7 linked regions of the Bombyx mori genome follow. The protein of the gene in region 2 binds, or shares a complex with, the protein of the main gene of each other region. Links are inferred from orthologs where the notes say so. Each region holds a gene or a part of one and is shown on either strand. Other genes may lie near its edges.

What was found.
Region 1: small nuclear ribonucleoprotein G (region 2) and cysteine-rich PDZ-binding protein share a complex: the UniProt entries of both Homo sapiens proteins name them as parts of the minor spliceosome. The link is inferred for Bombyx mori from reciprocal best matches to the Homo sapiens genes SNRPG and CRIPT.
Region 3: small nuclear ribonucleoprotein G (region 2) and pre-mRNA-processing-splicing factor 8 share a complex: the UniProt entries of both Homo sapiens proteins name them as parts of the U4/U6-U5 tri-snRNP complex. The link is inferred for Bombyx mori from reciprocal best matches to the Homo sapiens genes SNRPG and PRPF8.
Region 4: small nuclear ribonucleoprotein G (region 2) and 116 kDa U5 small nuclear ribonucleoprotein component share a complex: the UniProt entries of both Homo sapiens proteins name them as parts of the minor spliceosome. The link is inferred for Bombyx mori from reciprocal best matches to the Homo sapiens genes SNRPG and EFTUD2.
Region 5: small nuclear ribonucleoprotein G (region 2) and G-patch domain and KOW motifs-containing protein share a complex: the UniProt entries of both Homo sapiens proteins name them as parts of the minor spliceosome. The link is inferred for Bombyx mori from reciprocal best matches to the Homo sapiens genes SNRPG and GPKOW.
Region 6: small nuclear ribonucleoprotein G (region 2) and E3 ubiquitin-protein ligase RNF113A share a complex: the UniProt entries of both Homo sapiens proteins name them as parts of the minor spliceosome. The link is inferred for Bombyx mori from reciprocal best matches to the Homo sapiens genes SNRPG and RNF113A.
Region 7: small nuclear ribonucleoprotein G (region 2) and BUD13 homolog share a complex: the UniProt entries of both Homo sapiens proteins name them as parts of the minor spliceosome. The link is inferred for Bombyx mori from reciprocal best matches to the Homo sapiens genes SNRPG and BUD13.

The regions. Positions count from the first base shown.
Region 1 is NC_085130.1:5,681,330-5,685,438, forward strand, and holds cysteine-rich PDZ-binding protein, read right to left. Parts: upstream 2,731-4,109; 5' UTR 2,469-2,730; coding exon 2,296-2,468; intron 710-2,295; coding exon 580-709; 3' UTR 501-579; downstream 1-500. Other genes in the region: drebrin-like protein, read right to left, coding at 3,610-4,109. UniProt on the Homo sapiens protein: As a component of the minor spliceosome, involved in the splicing of U12-type introns in pre-mRNAs. Involved in the cytoskeletal anchoring of DLG4 in excitatory synapses.
Region 2 is NC_085133.1:8,591,043-8,595,108, forward strand, and holds the start of small nuclear ribonucleoprotein G, read right to left. Parts: upstream 2,801-4,066; 5' UTR 2,653-2,800; intron 2,379-2,652; exon of another isoform or gene 1,995-2,378; coding exon of another isoform or gene 1-1,994. Other genes in the region: uncharacterized protein LOC134201547, read left to right, coding at 1-1,994. UniProt on the Homo sapiens protein: Plays a role in pre-mRNA splicing as a core component of the spliceosomal U1, U2, U4 and U5 small nuclear ribonucleoproteins (snRNPs), the building blocks of the spliceosome.
Region 3 is NC_085114.1:12,596,045-12,599,544, reverse strand, and holds part of pre-mRNA-processing-splicing factor 8, read right to left. Parts: coding exon 3,392-3,500; intron 3,222-3,391; coding exon 3,015-3,221; intron 2,934-3,014; coding exon 2,643-2,933; intron 2,436-2,642; coding exon 2,243-2,435; intron 1,775-2,242; coding exon 1,587-1,774; intron 1,411-1,586; coding exon 1,172-1,410; intron 948-1,171; coding exon 801-947; intron 647-800; coding exon 496-646; intron 269-495; coding exon 61-268; intron 1-60. UniProt on the Homo sapiens protein: Plays a role in pre-mRNA splicing as core component of precatalytic, catalytic and postcatalytic spliceosomal complexes, both of the predominant U2-type spliceosome and the minor U12-type spliceosome.
Region 4 is NC_085121.1:1,473,641-1,476,602, forward strand, and holds the end of 116 kDa U5 small nuclear ribonucleoprotein component, read right to left. Parts: intron 1,292-2,962; coding exon 1,099-1,291; intron 692-1,098; coding exon 538-691; 3' UTR 501-537; downstream 1-500. UniProt on the Homo sapiens protein: Required for pre-mRNA splicing as component of the spliceosome, including pre-catalytic, catalytic and post-catalytic spliceosomal complexes. Component of the U5 snRNP and the U4/U6-U5 tri-snRNP complex, a building block of the spliceosome.
Region 5 is NC_085127.1:6,327,906-6,331,927, forward strand, and holds the start of G-patch domain and KOW motifs-containing protein, read right to left. Parts: upstream 2,801-4,022; 5' UTR 2,494-2,800; coding exon 2,375-2,493; intron 1-2,374. UniProt on the Homo sapiens protein: RNA-binding protein involved in pre-mRNA splicing. As a component of the minor spliceosome, involved in the splicing of U12-type introns in pre-mRNAs.
Region 6 is NC_085108.1:7,586,020-7,590,018, reverse strand, and holds the start of E3 ubiquitin-protein ligase RNF113A, read right to left. Parts: upstream 2,801-3,999; 5' UTR 2,551-2,800; coding exon 2,457-2,550; intron 1,187-2,456; coding exon 1,035-1,186; intron 484-1,034; coding exon 331-483; intron 1-330. UniProt on the Homo sapiens protein: Required for pre-mRNA splicing as component of the spliceosome. As a component of the minor spliceosome, involved in the splicing of U12-type introns in pre-mRNAs. E3 ubiquitin-protein ligase that catalyzes the transfer of ubiquitin onto target proteins.
Region 7 is NC_085130.1:5,568,787-5,572,835, reverse strand, and holds the start of BUD13 homolog, read right to left. Parts: upstream 2,801-4,049; 5' UTR 2,663-2,800; coding exon 2,562-2,662; intron 2,030-2,561; coding exon 1,846-2,029; intron 1,736-1,845; coding exon 547-1,735; intron 1-546. UniProt on the Homo sapiens protein: Involved in pre-mRNA splicing as component of the activated spliceosome. As a component of the minor spliceosome, involved in the splicing of U12-type introns in pre-mRNAs.

The sequences.
Region 1 (4,109 bases), on a different chromosome or scaffold from region 2:
AAAAATATTTTGTCCAAATGCACAGATTGCCACCTTTGATAATAGACGACTCATATACACATATGTTTAAGTAATATCACCTTCACACTACACCTACCAAGGTTCATCTCTGCACCCCCCTAAGGTAGACTGTTAGAGAATGCCTATGGCATTAAGTCCTTTATACCGTTTAGTATATAAAGTTATAAATAAATAAATAAACATATATTCAGAATTATTCAGATTATTTAGAACATAGATAGGACAGATGACAACTTGTAACAATCATTATAATTTGTCATCATTCATGAGTGTTAGAATTATTCTCATTTCATTTTTGAAACCGATTTCTTGGATTCAAGTCTTGATTATCTGTAGTACCGCTAATTGTGGGTGTTCATAGGTTGGCATTACAATCCTATCTGTTTATTCCTCGAAGCAATCACACTTTACCATCCGTGAGGAAATTTCCAGTATCTTTATTATTATCTTAAAATAGTCCAAGGCATATAAAGCATTGCTTTACAAATACACTATATTTTTTCTTTTAGAACTTATTTAGGTAATGTTTCTTATGAACTAGGATAACATAACAATAAACTAAGTTGAGCTCTGTCTGTAATTCTTAGTGTCTAGAATCTTCTTTCCACACATGGCACATATACCCTTTTTGTATGCACAAGCTTGGCAGTAATGTGATCCGACCTGGTGTACTTTCGTTCTGCAGATTCTGAAAAATAAAAGAATATATTTTAAAAACTTTTAATACATTTTACTGGAGGTATGGTTAGACCTAATAGACGCCTTTGAAATGTGGAGCTGGAGAAAAACGTTACAGATTCCATGGAATGCCTTTCTCACCAACGTGACTATTCTGAGAGAGCTTAATATCATAACTAGTCTTTCCAATATATGCCTTCGTTGGGTGCTGGAATTCTTCGGACATATTGCCCGTAAAGAGGGTCACAATCTAGAACAGCTGATGCTGACAGGAAAGGAAGATGGCAAACGTCCAAGAGGATGCAGTACCACGAGATGGTCGGACTAAATACAATCTTCTCTGAACATCAACTTCCACAATGTCCTTCATGAAGCTAAGGATCGCAGCAGATGGAGGGAAATCGTACGGAAGAAACTGATGCAGCGGGGGAGTTCAGTAATGAGGAAAACGACACGAGGAGGTGGAGGTGGTATGGTGTAATGTACTGAAATAGGTTCCACAAACCTAGTTATTGCAACCATAAATTTGTCCCATTTTCAAAGGAGAGCCATTTTTAAATTCGAATAAATCTTCAACTGCATCTCTTCATATAAAAACAACGTACACATTACAATCATCTATGGCCCTATTAATCTACCCATGTAGTGTACTAAATAAATCACTCAAGAGAAGAAGGGATAATGAATATAAAAAACATCCTTCAAACAAGTAACAACTAACTTTTATTGTATTGTTATTTTACATATTGGTAACTAAAAGTCCAGCAGTATTTAGTGTGTTTGTCTGAAGCGTTCGGGATTAGGAAGTATTATTATGAATATATGAGGCAAAATTGGGGAAGTATTATTAAGAATGTATGAGTTAAAATTGGAGAAGTATTATTAAGAATGTATGAGTTAAAATTGGGGAAGTATTATTAAGAATGTATGAGGTAAAATTGGGGAAGTATTATTAAGAATGTATGAGGCAAAATTGGGGAAGTATTATTAAGAATGTATGAGGCAAAATTGGGGAAGTACTATTAAGAATGTATGAGTTAAAATTGGAGAAGTATTATTAAGAATGTATGAGTTAAAATTGGGGAAGTATTATTAAGAATGTATGAGGTAAAATTGGGGAAGTATTATTAAGAATGTATGAGGCAAAATTGGGGAAGTATTATTAAGAATGTATGAGGCAAAATTGGGGAAGTATTATTAAGAATGTATGAGGCAAAATTGGGGAAGTACTATTAAGAATGTATGAGTTAAAATTGGAGAAGTATTATTAAGAATGTATGAGTTAAAATTGGGGAAGTATTATTAAGAATGTATGAGGTAAAATTGGGGAAGTATTATTAAGAATGTATGAGGTAAAATTGGGGAAGTATTATTAAGAATGTATGAGGCAAAATTGGGGAAGTACTATTAAGAATGTATGAGTTAAAATTGGAGAAGTATTATTAAGAATGTATGAGTTAAAATTGGGGAAGTATTATTAAGAATGTATGAGTTAAAATTGGGGAAGTATTATTAAGAATGTATGAGGTAAAATTGGGGAAGTATTATTAAGAATGTATGAGGCAAAATTGGTTTTTAAACATCAGGATTACTCACTTGCACTGTTGAAATGTGGAAGTGTACGGATTAAATCGTCCTTTTTTGGCGGTTAATGCTTTGTTTTCTCCAACAACACGTCCGCCGGACTCCACGGTATTCCTAGCTCCAGCCTTCCAAGGGTCCGGCGTTATTACTCTGCCCAATTTCTTTTCGCACTTCTCACAAACCATTTTTGTTCTGTTTCTTACTAACCTAACGAGCTTGTATTAGTACGAAATTTTATTAAATTGTTGTTTTGACTGAATAATATGTAGGTTATATTAATTAAATATTACTTATCAAATATTAAAATATGCTCTGCTAGTGAACAGCTAGTTTTATTAAGAAATCATAGTTAATACACTTAATATTTGTTAGAAATAAAATTTATTTAAGTTGATGTTGTTACTAATAGTTTTCTTTTGAATTGTCATTTGGATAGGCAACAGGAATGAAGCCCATACAGTCAAAACTTGTACCGAAGTGCGGTTCCGTGTCTGTGGTATTAAAAGTGGAACTAAAACAATACATAATACAAATTGAATTGGTTCTGGAATTAAATTGAATAAAGAAAATGAAATTCAATGAATTAATATAAAAGACGGTCAGGACTTAGATGAGATGAAAATACCTTGCAATCAAATGGGTGGACAGTTGGTTTACTAAGACGGACTTATTCTTCCTATTTTCCACGGACTTTTTGGAAGGGCCCGTTATGCCACGGCCTATTTTTCACTAAGACTACGGTTAATATTTCAATGTACTTTTACGAATTCTAATCGATTAATATGTAAATTTTAAGCCTGAAGAGACATTAAATTAAAAAGTAACAGCTTGAGTGCCCGCCAAATAGTCCTTAATGTTTCGTGCTGTATTTTCTTCAAATTAAATAGTGTAACGTCGGTCTCATGCAAACAAGAACTGCTTGGCAGTCCAAATAGGTTCGAAGCCAACTCGTGCCACTTATAAATCGCATAGTCCTACACGACTTCTGTGCGCACCCTGACCCTTAAGTACTTTGTATATTGTTTTAGAAACCGTCAAGACAAAATCGAGATCATGGGGCTTAAGTTGAAGAAAAAAACAAAATAATCACGTTTTCCCTGTAGATAAAAAAAACATCAAATAAAACATCATATCCAATTGCAATATAAGTATTGAGCGATTTATTAACTCGTTTCTCGATAAACATTTCAATAGATTTTATTATTCAACACATTCAACTTTCATAGTTTATTTATCCGACGCCGAAAGCTAATCTATATTAGTGGCACGTTACTCTATCAAAAGCGTTGTAACGGAATGTTGCAAGAAATAAAAACATACGAATTGCTAACTCTGATGTTCCTCCGCCATTTTCGTTGGAGCATCACTTGGATTTGTGTCATTTGACTCTGGGTAATATTGTTCTTGTGGAGCCTCCGCTGTGTTCTCATAGCTTTGTTCGTAATTCTGCTCGGGTTGGTAGTTGACTTCGGCTATGTTGTTGTATTGTTCTTCGCTATATTGCGCGTTGGGGTCAGCATATTGCTGATATTGTTCATAATTTTCATATTGTTCGTTTGCGTAAGTCGGCTCCTCGTAATTATTTTGGTATTCAGGTTGGTATTGCATTTCTGTTGCTTCGTAATTTTGTTCCTGTCCAATGAAATTCGCATCCTCTTGATAAGTCTGTTCTTTATGCTCTACGTCCATTGGTCTTTCTGATTTAATTGGTGCATCGTTTTGATTTTTGTAGGGTTTTTCATCATCTTTGGACATCGGTTGAGATTGATGTTCGTCGGTTATTGTTGTAGGCTCTTGGTGGTCGTGATGCTCGGGTTGGAGTCGCT
Region 2 (4,066 bases):
AACGCTGGACTATTAAAAATAAAATATCAGCATTAGCCATCTTCAAGCGTTCACCAAAAGCTTACCGATATCTGCGATATCTCGCACCATTTCCGAGTATCAAAACATTGCAAAAATTAATGAAAAAAATACCTGTTGAGCCAGGTTTAAATACAGCTGTACTTGACCACCTGAAAAAACTAGCTCCCATTAAAAAAATAAGAGCAAAATTATGTTCGCTAGTCTTTGATGAAATAGCGTTAAAAGAAAGGTTAACTTATAGCGAAGCCACAGATAAAGTGGAAGGGTTTATCGATTATGGATATGAGAGGAAAGATGAGCTAGCAAATCATGCCTTAGTCTTCATGTTACAAGGTATTGGGAGAAAAATTAAACAACCGCTGGCATTCTATTTCATAAGAGGCACAGTATCTTCAGAAAAATTAGCAGTTTTAATAAAAGATATAATTAAAGAAATTACTAACTCGGGATTTCAAGTTTTATCAACAATATGTGATCAAGCGCCCACCAATATGGGAGCATTAAGTCTGTTAAAGGAGTGGAACAATGGTGGACATAATTATTTTGAATTTGAAAATAAAAAAATTTATATAATTTATGATATTCCACATTTATTAAAATCACTGAGAAATAACTTTTTAAAACAAGGATTTCTGAAAATGGGAGAATTGAAAGGTCAATGGAGCCATTTAGTTGAGGTAGAGGAACGAAATAGAAATTTTTTATATCTTAGCAAACTCAAATCAACTCATGTACAACCAAAGTACAGAGCTAAAATGAAAGTTAAGTATGCCGCACAAATATTTAGCCAAACAGTGGCTGCTGTTCTTAAATTATTAGCTACGAATGTGGAAAATGTACACCGATCAGATGAAATATTACAGACTGCTTTGTTAATTGAAAAATTCAATAAACTTTTTGATTATACAAATGGGCCATCAGGACATGCTGACGTAAAAAAAGGTATACGGGAAAACGTATCTGCTAAAACTGACCATTTAGCTGTTTGGACAGAATATAGAAAGCAACTGTCTACTTTAACATTTTTCAACCATAATGGCGTGGAAGCAAAAAATGTAAAGTGTGTTCAAGGCTACATTATATCATTAAAATCGCTGCGTGATATTTGGCTGGAAGTTCAGGATTTAGGATATAAGTATTTGAATCTACGGCAGTTAAACCAGGATGCATTAGAAAATTTATTTGGGTTAATAAGACAGCATGGTCAAACAAACAAGCATCCGACGTGTTCTACATTTATAGCAGCTATGAAAACCTCTATAATATCAGGACTTACCGCCCCTCACAGCAAAAACTCCAATTGTGAAGAAGACAAAAAGGAACTCATGACGGATTTTCATGATTTAGTTTTTGGGTTTAAAGACGAAGATGATCAAGGTCAAGATATTAATGAGTCTCCTAGTCATGTTTCCACAGAAAATGAAAATGAGGAAGACAACCCGGTTCTCAGTATACCTGAAGAAGAAGAATATAAAGAAATAGTATGTGACCTAGCAAAAATTTCAAATCAACCAGTGGTCTATATAAGTGGATATCTAGCTTCTGTTATTCTAAAAAAAAATGATTGCCAGGTCTGTAGAGAAACTTTGACAGTTGCAGATCCAGAGGAAAATAAGATTTATGATTTAATTAAATTAAGGGAGTGGTGGCAAGATAAGAAATGTTTGACATATCCATCATTGCAGTTGTGTCAAACTGTACACACTGCGGTTACAAATTTTGAACAGTTTTGTATCCCTAACCTACATAATAACAATATTTGCCAGTGGACAATTACTATATTTTATTCAAATTGTAATACAGAGTGGCTATGCATTAATCATCGTCAACAAATGTCAGACTTATTGTTTACAAAATTGGCTCTAATGCTGATTCGGCGACAGTGCCAGATAATTAATTTAAAGCAAGTTTCAAAGGAAGAGGATTTGGCGGACGCGAACAAAAGGGGTCAACAATATGGTGTTTCAAGATAATTACATAATTAGTTTTTATTTGTTTTTTGTAGAAAGAAGTTAACTTCGGGTTTGAGTTCAAAAAAAGTATACATTTAGAGATTTAGAACTTTATTTTTTTACTATTATAAAATAGAAGTTTTTAAAAATTTACTCTTCAAATGGAAATAGAAACGAATTGTTTTTTATTTAGCACAAAAATTTTCAAAACCTAGTTCGTTATAACATTATAAAACAAGGTTGAAAACCTCTACATGTATACTTATTGTACCTTGCATAAAATTAAGTAAATATTGGTTTATATTGTAAAATAAAAATTAAACATTTCCGATACAAACTTAAAATTTTTTGTAAGCGTTAAAATTCTACTTACAAATTTCATTAAAATTATACTAAGTAATAAAACATTGTTTTATTTCTTTTAAAATAATAAAGTTTTTATTTCAATATGCAATCCTTGCCTGCATTCGATATCGACAAAAATATCGATAATATTCGCATCATTATTTATTGGACATCGATATTAATGCCCATCACTATTTTTGACAGTGGTAGGATTTTTGTAGTCTGTGGTTGTTTTAATGTTGTCACCAGATCGGATCTGATCCCATACATTTTCATTTTGTAACGTTTACTATGAAGTGCGGACTCTTATAACGTAGTGATTATATACTCTTTGGAATTTTGTCAATGAATTTAACTTTTCTACTATATTCTACCGTCTGAGACAGTGCTGCCACTTCCAAAATTAAATAAGAACCTTTGACACGGCGATATTACGATTATAATTTTGGAAATTATAGATCTTGGACATCAACAATATCAGAGGTACGTACGGTCAAGCTACTGCCTATTGCAGAGTTCTTCTTAAGCCTTGTCAGAAACTTGACAGCTTTGATCGAGCTACTTTTTCCCGGCCATAATAAATCTACGTTATTTATGGTAGTAATATGGTCCTCATAACTTGCTGAAAGAGATTTTAGCATGAGTTTTACGATCGGCCGTCTGTCTGACATGAATCTTTCTTGGGCTAGTAGTATATCCATGGCAGCGTACCATGGGAGGATACATTATAATTTAGATTTTTAAATACAAAATATCACGTTTTATGAAATTTTATGAATTTGCATAAGAATATCATAATGCATCATTCATACGAAACATAAAAACAGAAGCTTAAAAGGACACTCAGAACAAATAGAAAAAGAAGCATCTAGTGGGGTGCTAGATTGTTGGGGTGTTTGATGGTCTTTGGCAAAAATGTCTGAAAATATAATATTATAGATGATCACAATGGTTGCGTTTGTAAAGATAAACTCATCAAGCCTTCCAACGTAACTTCTGGCAGTAGCCAATAGAAAAAAACAAAAATAAGGCAATTACTGGCTGCTAGGGAAAATACATAAATAAATCTATTCTAGCACTGTACAGAATTCTAATGATTGTGAACTCAGGGTCTATCTGGTTGCTGCTCTAGTTGGTGGGTTCTGAATTCATAAATTTAACAAACGCTTTCGTGCACCGACTCTTAGAGTATCTAGGTTACCCCTTTGTTCAAAATGTTTTACTTCCATCCGTCCGTGCTACTTTATACAGTCCTAGATCACAAATAAACGCAGTTTATGGTATAACAATCCAAAAAAATATGAATCACTGTGGTTGTATTAATGTATACCATCATTTATAAGCTTAAGCTATTAGGCATGCCTAACCGCTAACCGCTTGCCAAAACCGAATTATAAAAAATATTAAAAACTCCGTAAAGTAAAAACAAGACCGAACCAACAGATAAAGTAAAAAGTTTTACAAAAAGACTGTTAATATACGTCTATACAGTATATCATACATTTTAATGTATTTAAGCATCGTACGAATGTCATCGATTTAAAATCGAAAAACATCGATCCATTAAACGAATTTAAGTAATTTTTTGCCAATTAATATTTAATAAAACTTAATAAAAATATTTATATCTGTGCTTCTATTTTATTAATAATGCACTGCAAGAAGCTACTTCAATGGTGGTGAAAACTCATATTTATTTCGTAATATGCAAACCTTTATTTTTATACTAACAAAAACATAAATATTGT
Region 3 (3,500 bases), on a different chromosome or scaffold from region 2:
AATTTTGAACGAATCTAAGGAAAGTTGGAAAAAATCTAAAATTTGACAAATTCGATTTACCAATAAGAGCAGTATTCCATTTATTGACGATTTTGGTAAAGGTCGTTGATCCGGAAGCCATAAGGATTTGTCTGACACGATTGTGGAAACGAGCCAGGGATTCGTCATCAACACGTAGGTAGCATTGTGCTGTGCGCTCTTTGGTCACTTCGTTCTGAAGGTTCCATACTCCGTCACGATGCGACAGCTCTTCATGTTGACTTCGGCACTACATAAATAAACATCTTTTAGTAATGGACACATTGAGTGAAAATTAAGTAGAATTTGTGGAGCACAATCCGAGGTAGTGTCGTCAGCCTGCACAATTGGCAACTTGGTCTTGGTTGCTAGTACTATGATAGTTTCATGTTACATGGTAGACAGTATTATCTATATACTACAATAAATATTTAACATGATGATTAGAATAAGAGGGTTATATATCTTAAAACTTACCTTTGGCAAGATTCTGCATTCAAATCCAGCCATATTGAATAACAAATTGGGATTGTCCTTAGAATAAACAGATACAAAGCTGTTCTCCCATTGTATAGTTGTCACTGAACGCGGTAGACGATTCTTTATGTCCCAGAATACTGCACGCCCACTGTTGCATAGAAAATATAATATTTCATTCAGTATTCTATTACTTCAATAATTTAATATTGATTGTTAAATTAATTCAATCAATAAATAATAATTATTATATTTAAATTTATCATAATAAACTATTCATGATCACTAACTTAACTAAAACTTACAGATTAACATCGTGCTTCATTAGACGCATACGAGCATCCCTCGGCCAGCACTTTTTGTTATTGTAACCAACAATGTTCTCATTGTTGGGATCAGGATGCTCTGTAAGGTAGCGTTGAATCAGATCTCTTGCTTCCTCTGCTGAGAATCTGTAACCAAAAATGAATTATTTAAACTGAAGACTTGATTTCTTATGCTTGCTTGGATCATTATAGTAACTTAAAAGGTTACTGTCAGTCACTAAAACCTATTATTCAACCAATGTAAATTACGTTTATTAATATTAAAAGAAAAAGTGAAAGGATATTGATTACCTATAAATTATAGTAATGGAATATGAATTTCTATGACCGTAAAATATTATTATACATACCTGAAAAATATATGAATCCTATCTATGTATCTGCAATACAATCGAATAGGATGAGCAGTTTCTGTCTGACGATCTTGGTATGAAAGGAAGTCATTAGGCAGTTGTGGTGGGCCAGCCATCTCACTGGCTCTCTGTAGACCGAGCACCAGTAAGTCTAGCACTAAGCCATAATACTGGACGATGAAGGAAGCAAATTGAAGACCTCTAATTATACCGTATGAGTTTGTGTGATTCATATCCTGAAATAATGATGAAAATTTAATAAAAATTTAAATACAATAGTTTTATCATAATTTTTGAGGATTGTTTACTATTACAGTATGTTCATTTTTTAGATTCTATTAGCATTTTTTTTGTTTACTTAGACATGGGGGTTAATTTTAATGTTAAATAACTGTTTTTCCGTTTTCCTCACCTTATAATTGATCACTACATTGTTTTTAGCAGTCATGTAATCAGCAATGTTATGGTCCACAATGAGACGTAACAACCTGTTAAGCAGCGTCAAATCTATCTTCTCATACAATTTCTCAAAACGTGACTCGAGCAAGACATTACACTCGCCTTCACCAACTTCCCATACGTCTTGAAGGTTGTTAATACCTATTCAGGATGATGAACAAATAGCAAGATCAATTGTGAGATAGAATTAATATTAAAAATTATATCACAATCATTTTATTAATGCTCAACCTTCTGTATTGTTTGGTGACAGAATTCAAGTATTATAAGAGAATAAGCTTTGTATTTTGTATATTTAATAATTTTTTGATCTACCTATTGAATTAGTTTATAAAAATAACGATATAATGTAAAAAGTATATATTTTATTAATTTAATTTCAAGCATTAGTATTTATAATACTTATTACTGTAGTTAGAATAATATAATTTATAATTTACGAATTTTGCAAATGTGGTAATAAAAACTGATAAAGTGATACATTTTGTTTCATGAAATCATGAACAACCATTATAGAAACAGTTTGAGACCTGAGTCTAAATATGGGTGGCAGCACTCAGGTTGTGGTAATTAGACAAGTTATTAAGTAATAAGTATTAGTTAACTCACCCTGACACCACTTGTAGACAAGTAAAGGTGATGGTTCTGTATCAGCTGGTTTGACCCAGGGTGGCAATAGACGTCTTTTGTCTGCTTCATACCATAAGTACTGATCAAGATATGCATCTGTTATCTTCTCCAATGGTTCTACATCATATACTGGAACTAAATGGGAGTAGAGATCCATAAACTCAATTCCCACCTGAAATTAGAAAAAATATATGTAAAAAACATCAGATGAAAAATGAAATGAAAATGAAATCATTTACACACCAATTTGTTTGTTTCAAGTTTTGTTTGTGTAAAAAATAGCTTTTATATTTTTGGACAGTTACTGACATTCCTTAGATATGTACAAGTATTAGAAACACCCAAGTACCTATGTGGAAAATTAAATCAGATTACTCACCTCCCTAAAAGTTCTTTGAGTGAGCAAATGACGTTTAATCCTAGATAATGCTTCATGAGGATTATCATACGCCTGTTCGATAAGCCCTAGCTCTTCTCTCTGACTCTGATTCAATCTGGATTTGACGCTATACGCTTCTTTGAGACGTTCAAGAGCCAAAATTAATAGCTTTGTGTCGTGCTTGTAAGAGAGAGGGGGGAACGGAATTGGGGCGAAACGTCGTGATTCAAGCCAATGTACAGTGGTAGTGTAGATTGCTACGGCTTCCTCTGGAGATATGTAGGGACCGTCCTGTTGAGAAACATTGTAATGAACATTATAAGAACATACCACCAAATATAAATTAAATGCAAATTTTCAAATAATTCAAACCTTAAGGTAGTTGTGCTGTCTTTCTTGCTCAGCTTTCAAATACAACCTTGTTAGTCTGCCAAGGTTTTTCTTGCAGACTGTTTTATCGACAGTCGCACCACGGCGGATACGCTCTCTGTTGTAATGAGCTGTGTTGGTCCACCAGTCCGCCTTCATCTTTACGTAGCGAAGAATCATGTTCTCTATTGGAGTTGGAAGTCCAGGTACCTAAAATTTTCCTTTTTTATAATTACAAAGCAGCATACAACACAAAATGAGCATACAGTTTATCTGATACTGAGTAGACATTAGCAAAGACAGGAACACAGTCAGACTTTTGCGTATCTGTAAATATTTTAAAACGACTTTATTGATTGACTATTATTCATTGCACTCACCTTCCAAGGGATGTTCGCTTTCCAGCATCTCCAAGCTTCAGACAAATGTTGCAATATCGTCCTGGCCTTATTCTGTTTAATACCTTCAGGCATCATGTCAACAATGTCG
Region 4 (2,962 bases), on a different chromosome or scaffold from region 2:
ACTGCCGATTCTGAACTATGTTTCTACTGTTAGGCACCTACCGATAAATTTGATAAACGTGAACATGACAAAATAGTAAAACAATTTGAATAATGAATACATTTTTTTTTACTAATTTAGATTAGCCGAGAAACTTATGGCTTAACTACCTAACATTAGTATGTTGTTGGATTTATTTTGTGAGTAGTATAATCGCTAGGATAAATCGTTAAAATGCGACAAATATTAACATGTCACCTCTGCCGGCTTTAACGTTTGGCAATTTTATAAAGTACCGCGCACTCCCTCTAGGTTTAATGGATTTAATAAAAAATATATAGAATGAATAGTATAACGCCAAAAGTTTCACATACAACTGCAAATGTTTTTTAGTTTTGATTTATAATAATTAATCTATGTATTACATACTATAATAATATGTTTTCACTACATATATATTATGTTATTGTTCAGTAATTTTATCAAAACTTTGCACGTAAAATGAAAAACAAATACCAAAATAATTGTTTGGTAAATTTTATTAAATCAGAAATATAATTAATGAAGTTGTACGTCTTGTCTTGCCAGCTCCAACAACATAGGATCGTCGAAAAACTTATTGATGGACACGTCCTCACTGAGCCCCTTGCGTCGACGGGTCTTGATCATGAACTCTCTGGCTAAATGCGTCGCTGGCTGTGGTTCCAATGGCCTAAATAAATAAAAAATGAATTAAATATGATTTTATCATTCACTGCTGATACAGATTCGTTTATAATAAATATCATTATCTTCGTCAATACACTGACCCGGCAGACTTCGTAGTGCCTCAATCGATAAATAAAAGACCTAAGCTTTTGTATAAAATAAACTTAAAATAAACAAAACGAATCCGTCCGACGGGGGACACATGAAAAAGAAAACATTTTTTTTATTTATATTTAATTCCGAGCATTTATTATTTATCTACCTTTTAAACCTTCTCTGGGCTTCCACAAATAATTCAAGACCAAAATTAGCCAAATCGGTCCAGCCGTTCTCGAGTTTTAGCGAGACTAACGAACAGGAATTCATTTTTATAAATTAGATAGATAAAACAATCCAAACTAGACAACTCACCTGATAACAATACTCTTGTCGAGCGGGTCGCCGGGCACGATCTGCCAGTGATGGAAGACCTGCAGACAGAAGGCCTGGCCCTGCGTGTGCGTGCGCAGGTCGGTCTCGAAGCCGAACGAGTCTATGGCCGGGACGAACGCTTTGATGGTGTAGAGCGGCGACCCGGGGACCGGAGCGTCCTGGGTCACGTGACCTGCGCGACGAGCCACAGACTCAGTCGGTTTTTTCTACCTAAGCTGATAGTCTTGTGAGACCATATCAGCGTCACCGGGCGAGTGGGTGAGCTCACGGGGCTCAAACCTGACGTTGTTGCTAACACGATCCCTAACAAGAGCTGTGCTTCGTAGAATCAACCACCGGATCGGAAACGCGACCCACTAAGAAGATCCGGCGAGAAACTCAGTGGGCTGTGTCTGTGGGTTAATTTACTCGCCGAGCCCTTCGTCGCAAGCGACGGGTTCGACGAAAACCCCGATGACCGGCTCAGTCGGTGGAATCAACAGCACTATATATTACAACATGTATATAATGTGGGACGGTAGAGTGAAATCTAGTGGACTTTCATACCAAAATTTTTTATTTTCCAAAAAAAAACCCTCCTTACCTCGTCATGTCATTCGATGACTGTAATTTTCATTATTCTTATTTTAAAATAATTCTAATGTGTCAGTGTGAACCTGATCAAAAAAAATACCGATCTTCCTACATATACATAATATGTATGTATATATTTAAAGGAAAAACCGCATTTGCGCTAAGGTCGCCGCACTGTGCGGGCACAATTGCGGATACGTGCGCAGTGAGTAGGAGTGGGTAATATCGGTTTTGCCGCGTATCGAATCGTATCTATATATCGAGGATCAATATCGGATATTGAATCTATATATTTTCTGAATCTATATATTGATGGATGCTGGTAGATTTTCTCGATTCATGATATTTGAGATTTGAAACGATACGCCGATATAATATCGTAGTATTTAAGTCAACGTTATACGGTTGGTTTTCTGATATCAATTTATAATATGATCTTAAAGTAATAAAAAGAACATGAAAATAAAAATATCAAAAAAACTTTCCTTCATGCTTTTACCAGGCTTAGGACTGGCTACATTATTTTCAGTTTTTAGTATTTTGTGTCTTAATTTAAAATTACAAAATATACCAAAAGAGTGTAGATTTCAAAAGTTTAATACAAACACAAGAAATAAACTCAATTATTTGGATTTAACTAAAAATAGAAAAATGTGTACTTTAAAAATCAAACACAAAAAACTTTGAAGTATTTATAAACACTTGTCCAAAAATTCTAGTTCAAGGTCAAAGCGCGTGAAATTAAATTCAACGATGCAAATAGGCTATACTGCATTCAAGTTAGGGTCGAAAGTTGAAACTTCTTTCCTTAATTGTATCCTGCTGATACGCTTAGAATAATCTACAGACATATGGACTTAAATATAAGGTTTACAATTGTATGGATAATGCCTGTTTCTGTTTCATTCATCACATGATATCGCTATCGTGCGCTCACTCACTCTGGCCGATTCGATACGAACCAAACGAATATTGCTGATATTAACGAATCGGTACGATATGCCGATGCGCATCACATCGAGCAATATCGTGTATCGGCTGATATCGAAATATAGATTTCGATTCACGAATCGGTCCGATATGGCGATGCGCATCACATCGAGCAATATCGTGTATCGGCTGATATCGATATATAGATTTCGTGCGGGGCGATATCGGATTCAACGATATTGCTGCGATATATAGATATTGAATCTATATACGATTTATATCACCCACTCCTAGCAGTGAGCAACCTGGTTGTAATCAGAATTATAACAATCTTGTTGCC
Region 5 (4,022 bases), on a different chromosome or scaffold from region 2:
GCTGTCGGAACGCCCCCCCTCATATCCTGAACCAGGAAGGTCAAGTACTTGGGAGTCACCCTGGATGCATCCATGACATTCCACCCACATATAAAATCAGTCCGCGACCGTGCCGCTTTTATTCTCGGCAGACTACCCCATGATCTGTAAGCGGAGTAAAGTGTCCCTTCGGAACAAGGTGACACTTTACAAAGCTTACATAAGGCCGGTCATGACTTACGCGAGTGTGGTGTTTGCTCACGCGGCCCGTACACACATAGACACCCTCCAATCCCTACAATCTCGTTTTTGCAGGTTAGCAGTCGGAGCCCCGTGGTTCGTGAGGAACGTCGACTTACACGACGACTTGGACCTCGAACCGATCAAAAAATACATGAAGTCCGCGTCGGAACGTTACTTCGATAAGGCAATGCGTCATGATAATCGCCTTATCGTTGCCGCCGCTGACTACTCCCCGAATCCTGACCACGCAGGAGCCAGTCACCGTCGTCGCCCTAGACACCTCCTTACGGATCCAACAGATCCAATAACCCTTACATTAGACGCCTTCCGCTTTAACACTAGGAGTAGAGATCCCGGTAATGGTATTCGTCGAACTCTGCAAAGAGTTCAACCTAACCTAACGTGCAACCTAACCTAAGCATCAGCCCGTTGAGTTTCTCGCCGGATCTTCTCAGCGGGTCGCGATCCCGATCCGGTAGTAGATTCATTCGCGAAGCAGCTACTCTTGAGTTGTTAGGTCTCCCTTGGAGGCGCTCGGGTAGCTGTTAGCAAATCCCGTCCCTTCTGTCCTTGTGAAACTGGAAAGGCCTCAGGGCCACCAGTAAATCCTCAAACATATACATTCTTTTATGGCTTCTTCAATATTGGCTTCAGAGTATTGAAACATCCGACCCTTTACTGGTGGCATCGTGCTCGAAACTTAAGCTGAAATTAATTGATACTAATAGTTGACATCTAGTATACCCTAATAGTTGACACTGTCTTCGTTTAGTTAGACTAGTGTAAAATGAACGAAACTCAGATTGAAACTTTTGTTTTACAACATAAAGGCTGAATTTGAAGAAAATTAAGCTAACAAATTCAGTTCGATGTAACCCTAGTAGAAGACACACGTGTCATCTTTTAGGTTTTGATTCATTTTTGGTACTAATAGTAAACACCACTTAAAATTTGTACAAAAACAAACCAAAATAACAAGGAATTGGTCCTAATAAATCAATAATTTCATACATTTATAATATCGAAACCAACAGTAGCCAATAATTATAAATATAAGACAAAATCATACCTGTTAAAAGTCAGATGGCTTAAGGAATACGCTAAGAATTACGCGCAAAACGTCAACCTGCTCACATTGTTTGTTGTCAACTGATGCCAATTTGAAATTTGCTTCTAACACTGTACGCAAGCTTTTGAGAATGTATCATACATGGTACTAGGTGTCTAACATCAACAGCAATGTTATTTAAGTGTTTAGTTTCCTTATTAGAATTTTTTTTTTTTTAAAGTGTCATCTTTTAGTTCAATGTCCAGCATTAGTGCTTTTACCTTAATGCAGATTGAGTTTGGTAAAATTTTATAGTTAACATGGAAAGCTAAAATTTAAGTGTTAAGGTAGATGTGTAGAAGTTGATGTGAGGTACATACTCCCACATTTCAATTTTGGAGATCTTTTTTGGCATAAATTAGGAAGACTGTTTACCCAAAGTCCCATTTTTATTTTACATTTCCCCAGTTTTTCTTTGTTTGTTTTGTATTTGATTTTGGAATCATTTTTAGTATTTTCCTTAAAAAACAATGTAATCACTGTTCATGAGGGTGATATCGCGTGGAAAAGGGAAGATCCTACTATCTACAAGAACACAGGAGCCCCCTTTTTGTTGGTTAAAAATGCAGGCAAATTTCATCTCCATTCAAGCAAAATTGTTTCATAGAATTTATGACTGCAGCATTCTATGATCGTTTTCATAAGTGACATTACTAATATTAAGTCTGCAAGTCAGTTGATATCTAGTTTAAAGTAAATTAATATATTTGTTGTTTTTTACTGGTGGTAGGACCTCTTGTGAGTCCCCGCGGGTGTGTACCACCGCCCTGCCCATTTCTGCCGTTAAGCAGTAATGCGTTTCGGTTTGAAGGGTGGGGCAGGCGTTGTAACTATAATTAAGACCGTAGAACTTATATCTCAAGGTGGATGGCGCATTTACGTTGTATATGTCTCTGGTCTCCATTAACCACTTAACACCAGTTGGGCTGTGAGCTCATCCAACCATCTAAGCAATAAAAAAAAGAGCACATTTGATTTTAAAATGAAAACAATAAAATTTTAAAATGTTAACGTAGTTTTCTAAAGTATTTGATGTCATTTTACCCGACTACTTTGATAGATTTCTCCTCTACACATTCTATATAGTCCTTTTTTTCGTCTACGACTGGTTTTTCTGCTTTTTTCGTTTTCATGAAACCAAAAGATATTTTTTTGCCCTCCATTTTCGTTCTTATAGTTCTTATAAACTGCACAAATTTACTAAAACAGACAAGTAATTTTGCAAATGCATCACTTTTGATTTGATTCGCTCAAAATTATATTCGTTAATAACTTGAATTTATATGTTTTGGTTTGCTTCGCTTCGCATTGACCTTCACTTTATAATTTCAACGATGTCGATCAAATTTCTTGCTTTGAGTTTGACATAATATTGACATTTGACATCCAGTAAAGTATTAAATGGATAATCTATGGGTCAAAGATTGTATGGGCGTAGATCCCCTTGCTTTTCCTAATAAGGAAAAGTTGTACCAAAAAAAATCTATGGGTCATAGATTATACACAAAAAAAATTTAAGGGATTTTATGACCTGGTAACTAAGGCCTTTAAGTCATGTCTTATTTTAATTTATATTCTTATGTTTATGAAAAATGATAATATGGAGTGAAATGAAATGAAGATGATTAATTTGAGACATTAATCATTTGGGATGAAATGGTATGAAGTGATAAGAGATGATATGGGATGAAATATAATCTCAGTAAAATGGTGGTCATTTACTGAGACTTTTTCAGTGGACTTTTTGGAAGATCCCGAGAAGTTACGTTCAGCGGCTTTGTTTCATTTTCCCACATTTGTGCACTTTCACAGATACTAAACAGTTAATAAACCACCGTTATTACACATTGAAACCTGAAGAAACACTAATTAGACAAAATAAAAACAAATCACACAACTTCACTCTTCGCGTTCCCGCCAAAAAGTCAGACTAGATGATATCGCCGTTCTGCCCCATAGTTTATACACTTAATATTTGAGAATTTTGAGAGTTCTGCCTTTATCGTGTATGCCATAGATATTTGGGTATATACGACAAAGGGAAGATCTTCCACCGAGCGGATGATATTGCTCGGTAGACCGACGGTCCGAATGTTGTTGTTTGGAACTTGTATATATGCGCTTTATCTTGAAAATGTCGTAAGCGAGATTCAGGCATCTGTCAATTATCTTGCGTTGTATGATGGCTGCCCGCCACATCACTCCCCTCCGAGACTGGAGGTCGTGTCATTTTTTAGTTAGCGTTGTCCGTGCTGAGATTAGCTTGCAAGGGCCAGTGCTGCTCGAAGCCTGCGGTGAGTCGAGGCTGAGCTTGAATGCTGCGTGCGTGTCGCCAGTGCTGCTCGAAGTTTGCAGTGAGTCGAAACTGAGCTGAATGCTGCGTGATTGTCGCCAGTGCTGCTCGAAGTCTGCAGTGAGTCGAGACTGAGCTTGAACGTTGCGTGCGTGTCGTGCGTAGTCCATGTGATGCAGAGCTGCCACGCCGGAGATGTGTGACCCCAAGCGTTGATGATCCGGTCGTGGGCTGCGATGAACTGTAGCGGCGTGATGAAGCAGTGAAGTTGTGTGCCGTAGGACCAGGAAGCGCGGTGAGTCGGCTGCGATGGTCCTGTTGAGGCTGCGGTGCTGGCTTGCTGTGGGACGACTGTCAATGACGTTTTATTTGCGAGAATGCGGGGATTGTGGTAGCCGA
Region 6 (3,999 bases), on a different chromosome or scaffold from region 2:
CCACGAAGTGTGCGATTTCAATACTGTTAAATGGATACCTGTAGTTCTCACATTTGCGCGTGGAGCCTTTTTTATGGAGAGGAATTAACATTGATTCCGTCCAGTCTTCAGGCCACTGGCCAGTACGCCATATTTTCTGGCAAATGGAGTGTAAAATCTTGGTACCATCCGAGCCTAGGCTCTTTAACATTAGAGCGGTTACGCTGTCCCTCCCGCATTCTCCCTCAGGCAACATTGGAGGAAGCTGGTGCAAAAACTGGACCAAGGTGGTCACGATCCTCAGTAATGAGGAAACGACAAAGAAGAAGAAGAAGAAGAAGAAATGGATACCTTATCATCTGCTTGTCCGTGCAACTCTTCATTGATCTTCTGAGCCTTCTCAAAGATGGCTTGGGCATCTCTATCCTTTTCTGTGTCTAATTCATAGGTAGCTGTTGCATTCTCTCTCTGTTGTTGAACCGATAGTGTTGTCCTTTGAGAAGTCTGAAAGAATTGTAAGCTTATGTTGATCTAAATGGATCTTAAAACGGTTTTTTTTTATGTTCAATACAGAAGACAAGACTTCAACATAAAGATGACGTGTAAAAAGATTAAAGAGATAAAAAGATGTGTGCCAGATTTAAGTAAAGATAAACTGCTCTAATTGTTGATAATATTGATTTCAGTGGAGATATAACTGAGACACTAACAAATATCTCAAGATGCATGGCGGCATTTACTTTGTAGATGTCTATGGGCTCCTGTAACCACTTAAGAACTTAAGGAATAAAAAAAGACAACCCGAAAGGCTGAAATGGCAGCAAGCAGGCTGTTGGAACCAAAAGTTCTCAAGTGGCTATTATATATCTAAATATGTATGAAGTATGTGAAGATTTGAAGTGTGGGTAGGCCTTCTACAAGATGGACCAACAGCCTGTTTATGATATCTTATATCTGGTGCTTCAAAGGTGCAGATCTCATTATAGATCAGATTATCAAATCTGATGATATCCAAGTGAGTTGATGATGATGATGAGCTGTTAATGTTACTATACCTTTTCTTCATCATTACTATCATCATTATCTTCAATTACATCAATTTTGGATTTCTTCGGACCTCCTGTAGACTGTATGTTTGGATTTGGTTTGTTCACCCTTTTCGTTGGTAGAACTACTTGTTGCTCATCAGAGTCCGAGCTGTTTTTCTCTGAAACGTTACTATATTAAATTATATATTAAGCAGCCGTCTGGTGTAGTGGTAAGTGACATGGTCACTACACAAGGGGGTCGCAGGTTCGAATCCCGCCAAGGGAAGATATTTGTATGATAAATATAAATGTCTTTCCAGGGTTATGGGTGTATATTAAATATATATATATATATATATATATATGTGTATAATAAAAATATTATATTTATTTCCGTTATCTGGTACTTGTAACACAAGTTCTTTACGAACTTAGCACGGGACCAGTTAACGTGGAGTGATTGTTAGTAAATATTTATATTTATAAAAAAAAAAAATATCAAGTATATATGAGGCTGTCAGCGCAAAAGTGGCCTAACCCACAATTTTTCATGCTTATAATCATGTATATTGCAATTTATTTAATATATAATAAATTTTTATGCAAAACCGGCCTATCCATAGTTTCACCCATAGAAAGCAGATGGCTTTGTAATCATTATTTTAGCGCATATTGTTTTTTTTGCCAACTCAAATTCAAATTCATGAAAACTAAAGCCTCATTGCTCCATAATAACTATAGTACGCTTAGGCTGCTTTTGCGCTGACGGCCTCATATGATAAAATATATATCGACACTTGAAAGGCAAACGTGACTAAGCGACAATGCGTGAACTTTACGGTAGACTAATTTAAAGTTGAAATACATGAAAACAAAATTTATTTTAACGAATCCAGTTGTAGTAGAAACTAGCTAGTAGCTGTAGGATTGAAATAATTTTAATAGACCTAGAAATATATATTTTTTGCGGATCGAATATGGTTATTGCCTATCATTTATGTGCAAAGCAGTTATTGTCGCTTAGTCACTTTTGCCTTTCAAGCGTCGATATATTTTTTTTATAATGGTAATCTGCCGATAGTTTCTGCCAGCAATTTCTGCCAGTGTCGTGTTATGGCTACATATGGAACATTGTCGAGCTATTTAAACACACTTTATATTATAAAAAGTATCCAATTTTGGCTATATTAATGGTGCCTGGGACTAACACAAAATTAATGTTACTACAAACTTACATATTATAATAAAGATTATGTACAGAGAATAATGCGCTACATATAATTATAATTTTATAGTTAGTAGTTATACACTTAATAAAAGCACTTATAATACGGGGGTCTGGGAACAGTGAGAAAGAGGATATGAAGAAGCGATGAGATAGTTTTAATGTACTATTCTTAGATGTCTTTCGTTTGGAGAATAATTTAATAACTTAACGATCAATATTACCTTCTGAACTGGAAGTTTTACGTTTTCTGCCACCCCTATTCTTAATATTACGTTTTTTAAAAGTACTGAGTACTTCCACTTCGGCGTCTGACATTTTGAACGATTGTTTATTCAACCTAGTGTGTGCTTACTACGATATTAGAGTAATATCTACATAATCATTAATGAGGACACAATAATACTAAATAAAAGTACTGTATTTCACTTTAGGACCTTCAAGTATTGTCGGTATTTATAGGGTTTTTAATTAATTTTTGCATTTCACAACATGATAATATTGGCAATGATCAAAATAATGCTCATTTTTAACATTGACATGTGATTGATTTTGACGGATAGTTGTTTTTTTAAACTATGATTTGTCTATTGAATGGAGGGAATACTGCCCATACAACATAGCTTAAACATTTATAGCAATGCCTGAAGTTAAATCAAAACTTAAATTAGCATATGGAATAATAAGGTTAAATAAGAGAAAGCCGTACATGTTGTATAAGATGAAATAAAATAGCCTGTCAGTAAATTAGCGGAGACTTATTGAGGCTTCTAGGCAATTTGGAAGGGACCCGAGCAGCCACACAGCCACATTGAGGAATTCTTTTTTTTTTCACACTTAAGCCCTTTCTACTACTACTGTTAAAAGTTGAAACCAGAGTTAAAACTCAAACATTGTAATGGACATAATAAACACTATTCTTATCACGATGTTCATGTCTCTTTTATAGTAATAATAAATAGATAAATTAATAAAGTCATTAGCTGCCTTGAAATAAAGTGGAAGTGGAATCATAATTTACCATACAAACTGGAAATATTGAATGCTAAAAGGTTTAGGGTGTAATTTTTTTTTTATTGCTTAGATGGATGGACGAGCTCACAGCGCACCTGATGTTCAGTGGTTACTGGAGCCCATAGACATCTACAACGTAAATGCGCCACCCATCTTGAGATATAAGTTCTAAGGTCTCAGTATAGTTACAACGGCTACCCCACGCTTCGAACCGAAACGCATTACTGCTTCACGGCGGAAATAGGCAGGGTGGTGGTATCTGCCCTTGCGGACTCACGAGAGGTTCTACCACCAGTGATTACGCAAATTATAATTTTGTGGGTTTGATTTTTAATACACGATGTTATTCCTTCCCCGTGGAAGACAATCGTGAACATTTGTTGAGTACGTATTTCATTAGAAAAATTGGTACCCGCCTGCGGGATTCGAACACCGGTGCATCGCTCAACACGAATGCACCGGACGATTTATCCTTTAGGGCACGACGACTTGATATTTTAAGGAATGCACAAAAAACTCAGTCTAGTTTTATCGATCCTTGTATTAAAACGTCACAGGTTACAGCGCTCACTGATTGCTTGTCACTTGTCAGGCTTAATATTGCCGTATTCTGCAACGCGGCCCCGTTTTGTATTTCTTAGATGACCGTTATGAGAAGTGCACATTTATGAAACACAATAAAAGAATGACATCGTGTAATAAAATGCAAACTGTAAAAATAATAATTGTGTATAGGTATTGTGTGCTCGCATA
Region 7 (4,049 bases), on a different chromosome or scaffold from region 2:
AAATTTTTGTATAAAAATATGTTCCATGAACAATGAATGCTCACATATTTATTTTGACTTTAACTATGTAACTTTTTTTTATTACTTAGATGGGTGGACGAGCTCACAGCCCACCTGAAGTTAAGTGGTAACTGGAGCCCATAGACATCTACAAGCAAATGCGCTACCCACCTTGTGATACGAGTTTTAAGGTCTCAGTATAGTTATAACGGCTGCCCTACCCTTCAGACCGAAACGCGTTACTGCTTCACAGCAGAAATAGGCAGGATGGTGGTGGTACCTACCAGCGCGGACTCATAAGAGGTCCTACCGCCAGTGATTACGCAAATTATAATTTTGCGGGTTTGATTTTTATTACACGATGTTATTCCTTCATGGTGGAAGTCAATCGTGAACATTTGTTAAGTACTAAAGTAATAGAGAATAAGTAATAAAGTAAGATTAAGTAACAAAGATTACTTATAATTTTAAATTAGATTGCCGTAGATATGTGTAATATTCTTTTTTTTTATTATTTAAATTAAATTTTATATTAATAATTCTAACCTTTCCTTGACACAACTTGAGCATTCCTGCCTGAAACATCATCTTTCATTTTCTTAAACATCTCCTCTTCTTTCTTTCTAAAGTCATCGTTTTCTTGCCTCAGCTGCTTGGCATCTTGTAATCCTGCTTTCTTTCCTTCCAAAGTCTTCTCCATTTTTTTATGGGTTGGAGGGGGACTGTCATTCTTGTTAGACCTATCTTTCCTAGGAGGAGAAAGATCAGAATCGCTATTATTTCTTTTTGAACTTCTGTCTTTTCTTTTACGTTCAGAGTCATGCCTTCTGTAGTTATCTATATTCTTAAGCTTTCGCGGTGGTGATAAATCCGAACCACTGTCTTTTGTGTCATTCCTCCTGTGAGGTTTTTTGCTTACATTCCTATAGGACTTGTTTTCTGCATATCTTATATTTTTACGGGGAGGAGATAAATCTGAATCACTATCATTCGTTTTTTTTCTTAGTGGAACATTTCTACAGGGAGATTCTGAGATTTGTCTCTTACTCTTTCTTGGGGGAGACATATCAGAATCTGAATTTGATCTGTTAGATCTTTTGTCATACCTCGAACCATAATCTGTATCATTATACTTTTTTAACTGGCTCTGTCTGTTATCGTGACCAAATTTAGATTTCTCTGGGGATTTTTTTCGCCTCGGAGGTGAAACTGAGTTAAGTCTATTTCGTTTTGAATCATCTTTTCTAGATTTTCTGGGAGATGTCACATCATATCTTTTTTGAATTTTCATATCTTGTCCTGAAGAAATCTTATTCATTTGGGTTTTCCTTAGAGGAGACAAATCAGAGCTCTTAGATCTTCTGTGGTTATTAGCTCTTAAAGACTTTGGTGACTTATCCTTCTCATTGTCCCAACGACTTGGTTTTTTAAGTTTTTCAGCTCTCTGACCCTCATGCTTTCTAGGTGGTGAAAGATCAGAATCATATTCAGTAGTTCTTTTAGGAGAATTATTCCTTTTCACTGGATTCCCTCTTCTTGGTGGGCTGAAGTCGCTGTCACTGTTGTGTTTTTTTTTGCTTTTAGCTCTTCCAGACGGCGAAGCTTCTGAAACATTTGGCTTATCATCTTCGGAATCACTGTACATTTTTCCAAAGACCAATTCGTTTTCTTTCTCGGTTTCCTTTACATCTTTCTTTATCTCTTCAATTTGTAGTTTGCTGTTGAATCCGTCATCCTGTAACGATTTTCGGTGTCTGTTATAATCGATGAATAAGATTTCTATTAGAATGGTTTTTTAATATGTTGAAGGCTTGACAGTAAAAATAAAGTAATAAACATGTGTACCTGATTCACGATCTTCCATTTAGAACTAGTGGTGAATTGTTCCTGTTTTTTTATATGCTCTGGTCTTTCATCGATGATACCTGCTACTTGCGGTGCGTCATCACCTTCATCATACACATCTAACTCGTCACCCTCAAGGGGTCGTAGCTTCGATAGGTCAATGTCATCGTCTATTATTTTGAACCTAAAATTAGATGAGAAAATACATTTTTTATATTCACTTTAGTGTTTCAACAGGTAAGGTTATTTGTCATCTGTATCTTTCACTAATGAAAGAATTTTTTTTTGTTCTTTATTTGGAACTGACGTTTGCGTCTTTGAAGGAAGATGAGCCGAGAGTGATGATATAGTTAATGTACTGTTCGAACCTTATTAGAACAACATGCTTAAGCAACCAAAAAATTCATCCATACTGAATGAAAATATTGACAGGAATAAGAAATTTGAAATTAATTCGCATTTGTTATGTATTTCATTATACAAATAATCAATACTTACTTAAAATACAATAACTTGTAAGGAGAATACGTGAAAATGTACATGATTTTTTTTTCAATTTTAAAATGCATTTTAGTGTGACGACAGCACTTTAATATAATGCCAAAATACAATTGTAAATATCAAAACGGTAGATATTTAAGGTATTTTTTTTAGAAATAGTAAATTCTTTCACGTTTAATTTCAATTATTGTTCACATTGTCTACAGTTGACTTACCCTTTTCCTTTTAGCACTTTTTTTTTCTTTTTCTTTTTATCGCCCGATGGACCAGCCAGGTATTTTTGCAAGTACGCTTTCTGGTTTACAGTCGTAGCCATTATTAAATAAAATTTCAAATTATTTAATTTAGAAAATTAATTTGACGAACTTTATATTATTATGTGTATTATCTATGGTATCAATTTAGACAAACACAAATGTCACAAATCAACATTCTTTCAAATGTTTCAAAGCCATAATACACTTTTTTTAAAGGGATTTTATGTCCTGGTAACTAAGACTTTTGGGTCATGTCTTATTTTATATTTAAATTCTTATTTTTATGAAAAATGATTTAGGGAGTCAAATGAAATAAAATGAAATGAAGATGATTAATTTGAGACATTAATCAACTGAGATGAAATGAAATAAATTGAGATAAGATAACATGGGATGAAATATAATCTCAGTAAAATGGTGGTTATTTACTGAGACTTCTTTAGTGGGCTTTTTGGAGGATCCCTAGAAGCTACGTCCAGCGGCTTTGTTTCATTTGTGCACTTTCACAGATATTAAACCATTAATAATAATAATAATAATAATAATAATGTTTTTATTTCAAGTATCCATGACTCATATAAATTGTTAATAAGACTTAGACCTATGTTAGTATTTATATTTACATCACAATGAATTACTGTGGTAACATCCCATGGGAGATGGCACCACAGCGACCCATGTATATACAGTCCAGCCTGCTTGCGATCATGCTCAGGATACTGTTGGAGCTGGCCCTCACTCTGTTTACCAGAGATGCACACCTTTTACGCATGGTAGCGTAAAAACAATCTATGTGCGCGTCTGCAAACATCCCTGATGCGCTACAAAAGCGGGGCAGCACCACCAGCACCCTAAACGCGTTATTGTATTGAACACGGAGAGCATTGTACGATCTTTGAGTATATCCAGCCCACAAGCTGCACGTGTAAAAGTTAGTACAGTAGGCCCTAAAGAGGGTGACCTTGACTTTAAGTGAACACCGTGCAAACCTGCGAGCTATCATGTTTGCTCTAACCGACAACGCTCTCCGCTCTCGTTCAATATCTTCATCATCTTTGAGATCAGGGGTCAACACATGGCCGAGATATTTAAATTTATAAACTCTTGTCAATGGCGTTCCGTTGAGTACTACGGGAGGTATTTTATCATGCGTCCCACCCCTGGTCTCAAAGACCATGATCTCCGACTTTTTACAGTTGTACACCAAACCGTGTGATTTGGCGTATCCCTCACACAAAGAAACAAGTTGCCTTAGGCCACAGATAGACGCGCTCAGCAGCACCATATCGTCTGCGTAGCTGATGTTGTTTACGCACACCCCGTCTATGAAACAACCAATCCTGGTCCTACTGAGCTCGCCGATCAGCTCGTTCATATACAGGTTGAAGAGCGTAGGCGAACTCAACCCGCCTTGTCTCACCCCGCACTCCAACCTATATGGAAGAG